Saccharomyces cerevisiae S288C: one gene and its partner. Changing the gene in region 1 together with any one later gene gives a genetic interaction. Each region holds a gene or a part of one and is shown in the gene's direction. Other genes may lie near its edges.

Evidence for each region. Genes that interact genetically often act in the same process or in processes that back each other up.
Region 2: mutations in YHR140W (region 1) and BSP1 together harm fitness more than expected from each alone (negative genetic interaction), as found in Saccharomyces cerevisiae (2 studies listed by BioGRID).

What each region holds. Positions count from the first base shown.
Region 1 is NC_001140.6:376,467-381,912, forward strand, and holds YHR140W (uncharacterized protein), read left to right. Parts: upstream 1-4,105; coding exon 4,106-4,825; downstream 4,826-5,446. Other genes in the region: ARO9 (aromatic-amino-acid:2-oxoglutarate transaminase), read left to right, coding at 1-784; YHR138C (uncharacterized protein), read right to left, coding at 889-1,233; SPS100 (Sps100p), read right to left, coding at 1,753-2,733; YHR139C-A (uncharacterized protein), read right to left, coding at 3,642-3,953.
Region 2 is NC_001148.4:879,412-886,058, forward strand, and holds BSP1 (Bsp1p), read left to right. Parts: upstream 1-4,416; coding exon 4,417-6,147; downstream 6,148-6,647. Other genes in the region: JIP5 (Jip5p), read left to right, coding at 1-757; YPR170W-B (uncharacterized protein), read left to right, coding at 3,828-3,976, 4,076-4,184; YPR172W (pyridoxal 5'-phosphate synthase), read left to right, coding at 6,385-6,647. UniProt on the Saccharomyces cerevisiae protein: Recruits the capping protein complex to actin patches and the actomyosin contractile ring, and/or stabilizes their interaction. May serve as an adapter to link INP52 and INP53 to the cortical actin cytoskeleton. Binds F-actin.

The sequences.
Region 1 (5,446 bases):
CGATTTCCTCATTGTTGAAGATGATCCCTACGGTTATCTGTACTTTCCTTCCTATAATCCGCAAGAGCCATTAGAAAACCCTTACCATTCTAGCGACCTGACTACTGAACGGTATTTGAATGATTTTTTAATGAAATCATTCTTGACTTTGGATACAGATGCCCGTGTCATCCGTTTGGAGACTTTTTCTAAAATTTTTGCTCCTGGATTAAGGTTATCCTTCATCGTTGCTAATAAATTCCTTTTGCAAAAAATCTTGGATTTGGCCGACATTACTACAAGGGCCCCCAGTGGTACCTCACAAGCTATTGTTTATTCTACAATAAAGGCAATGGCTGAGTCCAACTTATCGTCCTCTCTTTCTATGAAAGAAGCAATGTTTGAGGGTTGGATAAGATGGATAATGCAGATTGCTTCTAAATACAATCATAGGAAAAATCTTACTTTGAAAGCCTTATACGAAACAGAATCTTACCAAGCTGGTCAGTTTACCGTTATGGAACCCTCCGCGGGTATGTTCATCATTATTAAAATCAATTGGGGGAATTTCGATAGACCTGACGATTTGCCGCAACAGATGGATATTTTAGATAAGTTCTTGCTGAAGAATGGTGTTAAAGTAGTGCTTGGTTATAAAATGGCTGTTTGCCCAAATTATTCAAAGCAGAATTCAGATTTTCTAAGACTCACCATCGCCTATGCAAGGGATGATGATCAGTTGATTGAAGCTTCCAAAAGAATCGGTAGTGGCATAAAAGAATTTTTTGACAACTATAAAAGTTGAACAGTGAAGATTAAACCTATGTGTTATTTGCATATCATATATAAATTGTAGTTTTTTGTATAAAAGTTGGGAAAAAGTTATAGTCGCGTATATTTTAAATTACTCTAAGCAACTAAATGGTCACGGTTTAGAGCATGAACTTCTGAATCCTTTTCCAAATTGCATTTAGCACCGTACTCGCTTTCAATATAGCTCAAACGTTCTTTCAGACCGTCCAAAATTTGGTCGCTATCAGGTAAGTCCACTGTAAAGCCCTTTATCAAGCTATATTCGTGTGTTATTTTACCCCCTATGTCCACCACATATTTTTTGACATCTTCAATAATGCTATTCTGGTCCGTAGCCATATTATCCGTCTTGGGGAAAGTTACGATGTATGATGATAAGGAAGATGCCTGTGCCATGGAGAATATGCTAATGAAAATCAAAACTAAGTAACTGGCCTTCATATATATGCTATAGTCTGTTACACAATAGATTTAAATGTTGTAATATAACGAGGAAACGCAACTTATCCATTTGTTCTCTCCATCGCATCGCTTTTTCTTAAATACTTTTGCCCCCCACCCCTTTATCCACTTGCGTTTTCCTCTTTTCTTCGCCTCTTTTTGGTAGCGCCGACCGATCTAATCGGAATAATCAAATTTAATAGGAACTGAATATTAGAAATTATTGAAGTCAATATACTGTAAAAACTATAAATCCTGTAACGAACATAAAAAAAGAAAACATAAAGGAAGCGCGTGATGTATCAGTAACATCACATAGTACAATAAAAAAGAAAGAGAACACTGATAATAACTGTACTGAAGACAAACAATTAGGAAAGTAACGACGATCTTTCTTTCGTCCAGTCATCATAACAATATGTGTTTTTGTTTTTGTTTTTGTTTTTGTTTTTGTTTTTGTTTTTGTTTTTATTTTATTTATTTTTTGCTTATTTTCGTAGTACACAACACATAATCATCTTATTGTTGACTAACAGGGAAGATTTGTTGTAACTCGCTACTACTTGTGACTTGATTATGGATAGCAATAGACAACAAAGTTTGCGCTTGGATTGGTGACAAGTACCCAGCAGAAATTGCACCTTGTGGAATACTTGTGTTACTTATGAACCCAATTCCTGAACCATCATGACCACTGGATCCATCACTTGCATAAACGACAGGGAAGTCGACCGATGTCCATGATGCCACGGTACTGTTGTGACTTGTACCAGAGCTGACAACAACCAAACCTTGGATACTAGAACTTAGTGATTGAATTAAGCTTTGAGAATATCCTTCTTCGTATATAATTGGAACCAATGGACTGGAGGATGATGAGGATGTATTGGTCCCGGAGGAGGCATTAGAAGATATTTGTGCGCTCGTAAAATTCGAGTATTGAGTTCTGATTGTGGAGTTGCTGGCAATCAGAGTTGGCTCACAGGCATCAAAGAACCATTGAACATTCTTCTGACCAGACAAAACGCCCACAGGAACAGTGTAAGGAGGGAAAACACCAGAATACACAACTTTATCTCTACCGGCAACCAAAGTGCCTCTACCTTCCGCGTCCGAACTACTCAATATTGGTACACCCCATAAGAAATTCTCAGTAATGACAATGGTCTTTGATGTATTAAAAACGATTGAGCAGAAGAAACTCAAAGTTTCAATGGAACGCCAGTTTGTGACGATTATAATGCCGGAAGACGATTCGCTTTGTAAAGTCTGATTAACTTGAGTAGCAATTTGGTAAAGTTGAGTGATGTTTAAGGTGGAAGTAGAGTTGAATAGCGTTGTGGTAGTAACGTTTGACTGGCTACCAGATACAGCAGGTCCACCCGTGATGATCACGGGGACCGTACCGCCGCCAGAAGTAACGTTCTGCCTCTTGTAAAGTGGTGTTGCAGAAGCTGTTAAAGTTGCAAGAAAAAATGCTAGCACTGATGTGAATTTCATAATAGCTGATTGGGTTCTTAGATGTGAAAACTGATCGAAATCAAATACTAGAGCATGATTGATAGGAACAAGAGAAACCAAAAGTGTTTTTAGCTTTCCTCCCAATTTTTATAGTATTCTAATGAGTAACGTCTTAGGGGAATTTTCAACAAGGCATTTCTAAAAGGGGATGCTAGTTGCACATTCTGAGAGAATCATTTGTACACGTTTTTCCCTATTTTCTGCTCATAAACCGAGGATCATCAGCGTTAAATGTAATTGCTAAGCCAAGAACTTTTGCTACTCTAACATTACATATTTGAAGGGTACAGTGAGATTCCCCAACAGGAATTCGCTTCTGTACATCAGCCGGTATTCGCTGAGAACTACTGTAGCCCTTAACTGTTGAATGATCTTTTTCTGGTAGATCATCGGCTTCTTTTGACGCAGGAAAAGGCCCGTGTCACTTCGGCTTAGCTTCTTTCGGCGATTTTCAAGGGAAGCGTCTGCACCTTAACGCAGACAAATGACGCATGATATGCACCCTTAAGGCGGACTTGATCTTCAGATCCCTCAAATGGTAAATGTGCCATAAGGTGGCCAAATTCCAACTAAAAATGATAAATAGGTAATGAATTGTTCACTATGCAGCGTTGCCACCGTTACGCCTCCCCCTTATTTTTCATTTCCGTTTCCATCCAGTTTTTCAGCCTCCTTGAACCCTACCATTAGTAATGGAAGCAATAATCTCATAGCAGCAATTGAAAAAAAAAAAGCATATTCGCTCACATTAAAATAATGAGATAACATGAGATGGCTTGGAATTATAAGCGTTCGCTGACCTGAAAAAGGCGCGGGGCTAATGGACCCATTCGTTAAAATGACCTTAAGCATCCACACATGCAGAATAAAAGAACTTAACCTATTCCTTAGGAAAGTTTATGTATTTGCTGGTACCCTCTTCCTTCTTTGGCCTCTTTTCTGACGTGAATGTCACATGTTAACATTTTTGTCAAATAGCGTCCATCTATTTGAACAAATGCTATCATTTTTGGGGATACAAATTCTATAAGAGGTTCCTGTTTGCAGCATCTAAAAACAGAGCGTGAAACGCATGCAGAAGTGACATATAATCCTTTGTTTAAGCGACAATTAAAAATAATGATCGCTCTCTTTTCCTTTTCAGACTTGCTCATTAAATTTGACAAGATCCGCGGATTAGAGAAGTCTGCGCTTCGCATTTAATGAAAAGATCTCCGATAAGTATATAAGTCCCTTTTTTCTCGAATTATATAAGTCACTTTCTATATGTCAGTGATTATCTCTACACTAGTCTTGCTGTATTCTTAGCAAATTTTTCTCGTATTTTAAAACCATAATACAAGGAGAATCCATGATGTCTTGTCTGGTACCAACACGTTTTACTTTGACCCTTAACACCGCGTGTCTTTTGACGAGCACCTGGGGGTTTGTTAGGGCCACATCTGTAGTCTTACCTCCAAGTTTAAGTAAAGCAGGCCATAAACAGTTTCTAACCATTATATCTATTATTGCAACAATCATTAATAACGCGGTTAACATTTCTAATTATTATATCCAAAGAAACAATAAGATGAATCTAGAAACCAAGAAAAAATCAGACTTTATTAGTAGACATGTCACTTTGCCAGTTTCTTTAGTATTAGAATCTATTGTTGCTACCGTTTATTGGCCGCTTAGATTGTTTTTTGTCAACTTAATAATGCATGGAGTTGAATCTACTGCAAAGACACCTTTTCCTATGACAGTGGATATGGCAATCCACTTATATCCTATTTTATATTTACTAGCCGATCACTACTTATCGGGATCTGGCACGAAATTCAAATTATCGAATAAGCATGCATGGCTCATTGTAACCAGTTTAGCATTTTCATATTTTCAATATTTAGCATTCCTGATAGATGCGGGGCAAGGCCAAGCCTATCCATACCCGTTTCTAGACGTGAACGAGCCGTACAAGTCGATTATATTTGTTGTTGTTGCTACTATTACGTGGGCTTATTATGTATTTTATCAAAAGTTTCCGCCAAAATACATCAAGAAGTCGGCAAAGAAAGGTGATAAGAATTAGCATTACTACTAGTATACTACTATTTAAGCTCTTTGTATGTAAAGTGAGCAAATCTCAAATTTTGCTACTTAATTCTTATTTTCGTGCTAGCCCTACAACGGAACCCAAAAAATCAATCACCAGGGTAAGCGGGAAAAAAAAAAAGTGTAGGAACCGCACTATAAAAAGTCGAAGGTTTGTATTAATTTTCCACACCTCTTTAGTTTTGTTATAATCAAATTCCTTTTGGTTTTTGTTTTAAAAAGGCCAACATCATAATTATATCGCGAATGTACTACTAGTATATGCAGTTTTCTTAAAATTGCAGGGAATGACTAAAAGCCCACGTTTTTCCCACTTTTAGTAGTACTGAAGCGTAGATAGATTGAACGTTGCTGGGCGCCTGGTGTTGATCATTTCTGAAATGAGATATTGGGAATCAGCTGTATCTACATTTTATTTATACATATTTATTTTTACTGGTTCTTAGTAACGTACTTTAGTAGCAATGCTGTGTTTTAGTGCGAACGCCTACGTGTCTTGTTAACTTATCATGGTTGCCAACGCGAACGTTTACAACAGGTTCAAAGGCAGGATGAAAAATTACGCCAAATAGGCAGGTTTTCAATATTAAAGAGTTAA
Region 2 (6,647 bases), on another chromosome or scaffold:
CATTTCTTTGGGCCAGACAACGTTAGCTTATTTTGACGTTCGCGACAAAGATGCCAAACCGAACGTAGCTGGAAACGAGGATGGTAAAATTTTGATCAGCGATGATCAGGAGGACGAAGTTCTTTGTGGTTGTTTCGTCGATCCCGAAGTAGCAGATACCCTTTTGTGTGGGATGGGCGAGGGTATTGTTACCGTCTGGAAACCGAATAAGAATGATTTGGAAGATCAAATGAGCCGTATTAAAATTAGCAAAGATGAAAGTATCGATTGCATTGTTCCTACTTTACAAGATGATAACTGTGTATGGTGTGGTTGTTCCAATGGTAACATTTATAAAGTAAATGCCAAATTGGGAAAAGTCGTCGAGATAAGAAACCACAGTGAATTGGATGAAGTCAGTTTTGTTGATCTAGATTTTGAATACCGTGTTGTTTCTGGTGGTTTGGAAAACATCAAGATATGGGAATTATCGAGTGATGATGTAGAGGAAAATGCATCGGTAGAGTCCGATAGCGACGAACCCCTCTCCCACTCTGATGAGGATCTAAGTGATGACACTAGTTCTGATGATGAAACGACGCTTGTCGGGCTCTCAAAGGAAGAGCTATTAGACGAATTAGATAAGGACCTCAAGGAAGATCATCAAGAGGAAAAAGAATCCAACTCAAAATCTGTCAAAAAAAGAAAAATAATGAAGGAGAACAACAAAAAAAAGGACCTGTATGAGCATGGGATCAAGAAGTTTGATGATTTATAGATTATTTCTTTTTTACTAAGAAAAACATATATCATTTATATTCAGAAATAAATAGGATTATTAACCTAGTGCTCCCAAAAAAAATAAGTTGAACTGTCTCTTTCGAGAAAAAGAAAGAGAAAAGAAATGGTCTCTAGCGGGATCGAACCGCTGATCCCCGCGTTATTAGCACGGTGCCTTAACCAACTGGGCCAAGAGACCATTATATTGTTAAAGATGTTGTATCTCAAAATGGGATACGTCAGTATGACAATACTTCATCCTAAACGTTCATAAAACACATATGAAACAACTTTATAACAAAACGAACAACATGAGGTAAAACCCGGCCTCCCCTAGCTGAACAACTCAAACGTATAAATGCCTGAACAATTAGTTTAGATCCGAGTTTCCGCGCTTCCACCATTTAGTATGATTCATATTTTATATAATATATAGGATAAGTAACATCCCGTGAATCAAGCTGATAAACAGTTTTGACAACTGGTTACTTCCCTAAGACTGTTTATATTAGGATTGTCAAGACACTCCGGTATTACTCGAGCCCGTAATACAACAGTGAGCTATTAAAAGAGCTTAAGTATTACAGAGTAATATCAATCATCAATCTTGGATCTAAAGTAATCGTCGAGACATTTATACACTTAAGTGATTCCTCTTTACAAGCGGAGCTTACTCTATATATTCATTCTTGTCAGTTTCATAACAGTTGTTTCATACGATTTCCACATGTGTCTCATATATATTTTATGTTTAGGTTAATAACTTTGGTAATGCTAAATTATCTTAATTTGACGTACACAAATTCTTCCTACTGTTATATATGTTCGAATTATCTTTTAAATTGTTGCTAAAAAAGTTAGAGTTATCACCAAATCAGTTGAGCAGATCACCATTATTCTTATGTAAATACTTGTTAAAAGAAGTAGCTTTCGCAAATACACCAATGCATTCGTTGATAATTTACGCAGTAACCTCTTACAGAACGCCTACATACAACTTAAACTCGTAATGTTCAGGCTTATAATGTCAGTATGCATTGTTACGCTTAGTATAGTTATTAAACTACGGACCAAATTATACTTTAAGCAGTAGTTAAAGAAAGAGATTAAATAAAGAATGATTTACAATCTAGTCGCAAAAACAAGTACAGTGCTGACGTCCCATCTTTTAATGCCTACTCTTTTGATGTTCACTTACATGTTACAATGAAGCCAAATCACAAACATTCAAATATATTCCATGGCCTCTTAGTTTGGCAACCCAAGACTCGGCATACCATATTGGTAACGCTGTATTGGAGAGATATATTCTAAAATATTGATAATTAATGGCAAAAAGGCAGTATTAATGAAGGTTGAATATGGATCTTAATATAATCGTATAAGAGGGGCATAAAATATACGCCGATTGGTTCAACATTAATTATGATCAATATAACAATGCGTCTGGTAATTACCATAACACTTAATGTAGCAACTCGTATAACAAACGTATCATGCTCAATTAATATAACCTTATCTCTGCTTCAGCACTGTCTGAGCTACTCTTTTAACGTTTCCTTTTGCAATAGGTACCTTCACACTAAAACATATACAATGGGTGCATTTAAATTGTTACCATAGCAACTCATATTACGATTCATTACCACTCATTTCAACACAACAACCTCTTGCTATCAAACTTACTTTTGCTTTTATTGCAGATATCTCGTTATTTCTGCAAAAACAGCATTCATTGGTAATGACAAGGTCAATTTTGGCTTTTATACATTTCACATGTACAGGATAGTGGAACACATTCCAAGGAGGTGAAGAACGTCCCCTTTGATACTTCCATACAAGGACGATTAAAAATACATAAGAGAACAGATCTGCAAAAATGCGTTTTACTTCCTTTACAATCTCAATGCCGATAAATAAGCGCAATGAAGATTACTCAGCAACTGTATGTTGGCTCATGCGAAATATGAATGTTTCATTCGAGATTACTTATCTTGTTTAACGCTTGAACAGCGTACTGTAACTTCTTGCTACAGAATGATGGACCCCATTATAATACTACCGCCTTGCGAATGCGCAATTTATTATGATCATGAACCCTGAGAAATCAAATGAATATTTAAAGTGTATGCAAAATGGACAAGAACATTATGGTAACATTGTCTACGACAGAATTTATTTTCTGACTTTAATAGTGACGGTTATACGAAATTAATGATTCTTCGAGAGGCAACTCACTTTACTGCAAATGGACCTGCAGAGTTTGCATCTAGAGGACAATATGCTGCACAAAAACGACCAATATTTACCTTCAACGAAAACAACCTTAAGAAACCCCTTCAACAACAACGCAGCTATCGTATCGTAGTGGTCTCCATAATGCGTGCACCTCCTTTAGCACTTATCGAGTAATAACATACGCTAGATAAGTAAAGTGTCCAGGATATTATAATTATATGATATTTCGGGAATGGTTTCTATATCTAGTTTTTTAACTTAGCCTAGACATTCGCCTCGTATTATAAAATACATGAAAGTGACTTGACTGCTTCATGAGAGTTATACTAAGAGCATTCATAACTAGAAGACACATTTTAGTTTTTATTACTGAGTAAGGGTTTAGTTTGTACATACAAGGCAACATGAAATTCAAGGTGCTGATGTTCAGTAAAGCCGCCTAGCTTTACGTGCCGAAATATTGATAATATGTCTCAGCCACTTCCTGGCTTAACTATTTAAATGATATTTCTGCATCCATCGGTATGGCGCACAATAAACGGTATCTGAGAATATCGAAAAGAACACCACAATACTACTGAGTGCAAACACAGAAGAGCGTAGGTGATTCAACTAATTGAGTTAGAAACTGCATCAACGCTGCATAATAAAGATGCTGCTGTTCAGGATCATTTTTTTTAAAGACTGAAAAAAATTGCTTATCGCTTTGCACGCGACTCTTTTTTCTATTATTTGAAAAATAGCTTAAGGGAAAAGAAAAGAATAGGTAGCTTTCAAAGCAAGAACCTCTACGATAAAGGACAAAGCTAGAAGCAAACACCGCAAAAAAAATGAGACCCGTTGTATCCACTGGTAAGGCATGGTGTTGTACCGTCCTATCGGCATTTGGTGTAGTAATTCTTTCCGTCATTGCTCATCTCTTCAACACAAACCATGAATCCTTTGTAGGATCAATAAACGATCCTGAAGATGGACCTGCGTATGTTATATTTTCTTATTTATTTCGCCGTTACCCATTTACCATCTCTTATATCTCTCCTCCTTACTAACAATTATATTTTAACCCTATTGTTTATAGTGTTGCACATACTGTTTATTTGGCTGCCTTGGTATACCTCGTGTTTTTCGTATTCTGTGGGTTCCAAGTTTACCTAGCCAGAAGAAAACCTTCGATCGAGTTGCGTTAGTCTTGAAGCCAATAGGATAATACCAAATGCATTAATATCGTCCAACTGTTCTATATACTTATCGTAACCTCGTTCCATGTGACATTCTTTTTTATTACACTTTTCGACAATAGCGAATTGAGTGAAATATTATGAAAGAATATATAGTATAAATATATACATTTATATATGAATTCTAATCAATAAAAGTCACAGTAACCAGCTTTTCCTAGCTTTTCGAAGTTTCGGAAGTATGACAAAATATGAGCGTGACCCTGAATTGGTGAACTTTCTATCGAAAGTGGAGGATTTGAACTCTAAGAGATACAGTAATATTCCTAGTTCAAAACCAGCGGGGGAAGCGCTTTCACCAGTTAGAAGTCACAACTCTGGGGAATACAGAAGGGCTGATATGATGACAGGGAAAAATGTGGAAGGTTGCGACAATTTGGCCTACCGATCTGCGTACAATTATGAAATGACGTTTTCTCCAAAGAAGACTCATTACTCATTAAGTGAGCTGAATCTCGAACGAATAACGCCAAGGCCGGATTTGGAGGGAAGTGCCTCTCAAAAAGAAAAAAAATTTTTAATTTCTGAAGAAGATTATTTATTATTGCAGAAATTGAAAGCCTCTCAAACATATAATGATTCCAATGCTGACAAAAATTTGCCTTCCTTTGAAAAAGGTCCTCGTATGCCCAGTCGGGGTCGACCCAGACCGAGAGAGAAGGAAATAATCACCATCCAATATGATTTTGAATTACCAGGAAGAGCCGATATACCCTCCTCCTCCTCTTCTTCATCACCACCGCCTTTGCCCACAAGGCGTGATCATATCAAAATCACAGATGGGAATGAAGAGAAACCGCTTCTTCCAACAAGGCCTAACAAAGCAGAAGTTACAGAAAGTCCGTCATCAAGGTCAATAAAACCGGATGCTGTGGTACCTGAGCGCGTTAAGCCTGCTCCACCTGTCTCACGCTCTACAAAACCGGCGAGCTTTTTAAGTTCTTTGGAAGATAACAAATTGACAAAGGCGAAGAGTTATAATTCGGAAATGGAAACTCCCAAAACAACTGTAAAAAGTTCTCATATCGATTACTTGGATTCCATACAACTAAAACCAACCACCTTATCTCCTACAATGAAAAATAAACCTAAACCAACCCCTCCTTCTCCACCTGCGAAAAGAATTCCAAGATCTGAAAGTTTTATCAAGTCTATGCTAAACTCGAATCTCACGACAACTTCCAAGCCTTCTTTGCCTGAAAAACCTCAAAAGCTACGGAATGCAAATTTGGCCGCCCATAAGACCAAACCAAGCATACCGCCAAAGAAAGTGGAGTTGAATATAGTATTACCTGAGCTACGTCCCGTAGAAACTTCTCCAACAAAGCAGAACTTCGAAAACTCAATCGATTTGCCCAAGTTACGATCCAGCAACCGTAACATTAAAAAAGAAGAGGAGGACAGTATTCCAGAAGCAATAAAAGGTATACAAAATCTGAAGAAAACCAAACAGCAGAAGCCTGCAATCCCTCAGAAAAAATCATTTCTAACAAATAATTCGAAAAATACTACACTCAAAAATGGTGATGATATTAACAAGTTAAATGACGAAATTGAAGCTCTATCATTGCGGAATAACCTGAAGAAACGGCCACCAACGGCGCCACAACGTAAAATTTCTTTGCCAGAGGCATTGCGAAAAGTCGAATTGATGAAAAAATCTAAAACCGAGCCTGTTTTAGAGTCCTCAAACGAACTGAGCATAAACGCAAAATTAGACGCAATAATTGCCTCTAGAAACTTAAGAGCATCTAATACTCTACCAGAACTTAGCGGTGTTAACACTAATATTGCAACTTCTGACAAGTATACTACTTCTAGAGATGAAACAGTGAAGGAAACTAAACCATTAGTTCACCCGAATAAAAATAGGACTCGTGGTCCCAGAAGAAAACTTCCAACACGCGTGTAACTACAGAGTAGACCTCCGTATTTTACACATGTATGTACGTACATATGATGTAACAATAATATGATAATTTAATGGGATACATGTATTATCGTCACTTCCCACGTTTGCGCTTTGACATTTGCTCCCCTTATGAACCTGAAGGAATATAAATCATCGATCTTTTTGCTACACTTTTCCTCCCTTATTAGAAAATAGCAGTAAAATTACAGGCTATTCAAACCCTGAAACATCTCAATTATGGCTTGGACTAGTACATTACCAGCGCATCTACTGAACCTGATCAAAAACTCCAAATATGTTCACGTGGCCACCTGTTCTAAAGACTGCATCCCTTCAGTGGCATTGATGAACTATATCTATGTGCCAGGTGAAAAACTGTTCGGTCAAACAGATAATAAGAATGACTACATTATATTTGTTTCTCCTCAGGACACACAAAAGTTTTACAACATCAAGGAGAACCCTAAGGTCGCCCTGTTGTTTCACGATTGGATCATCGC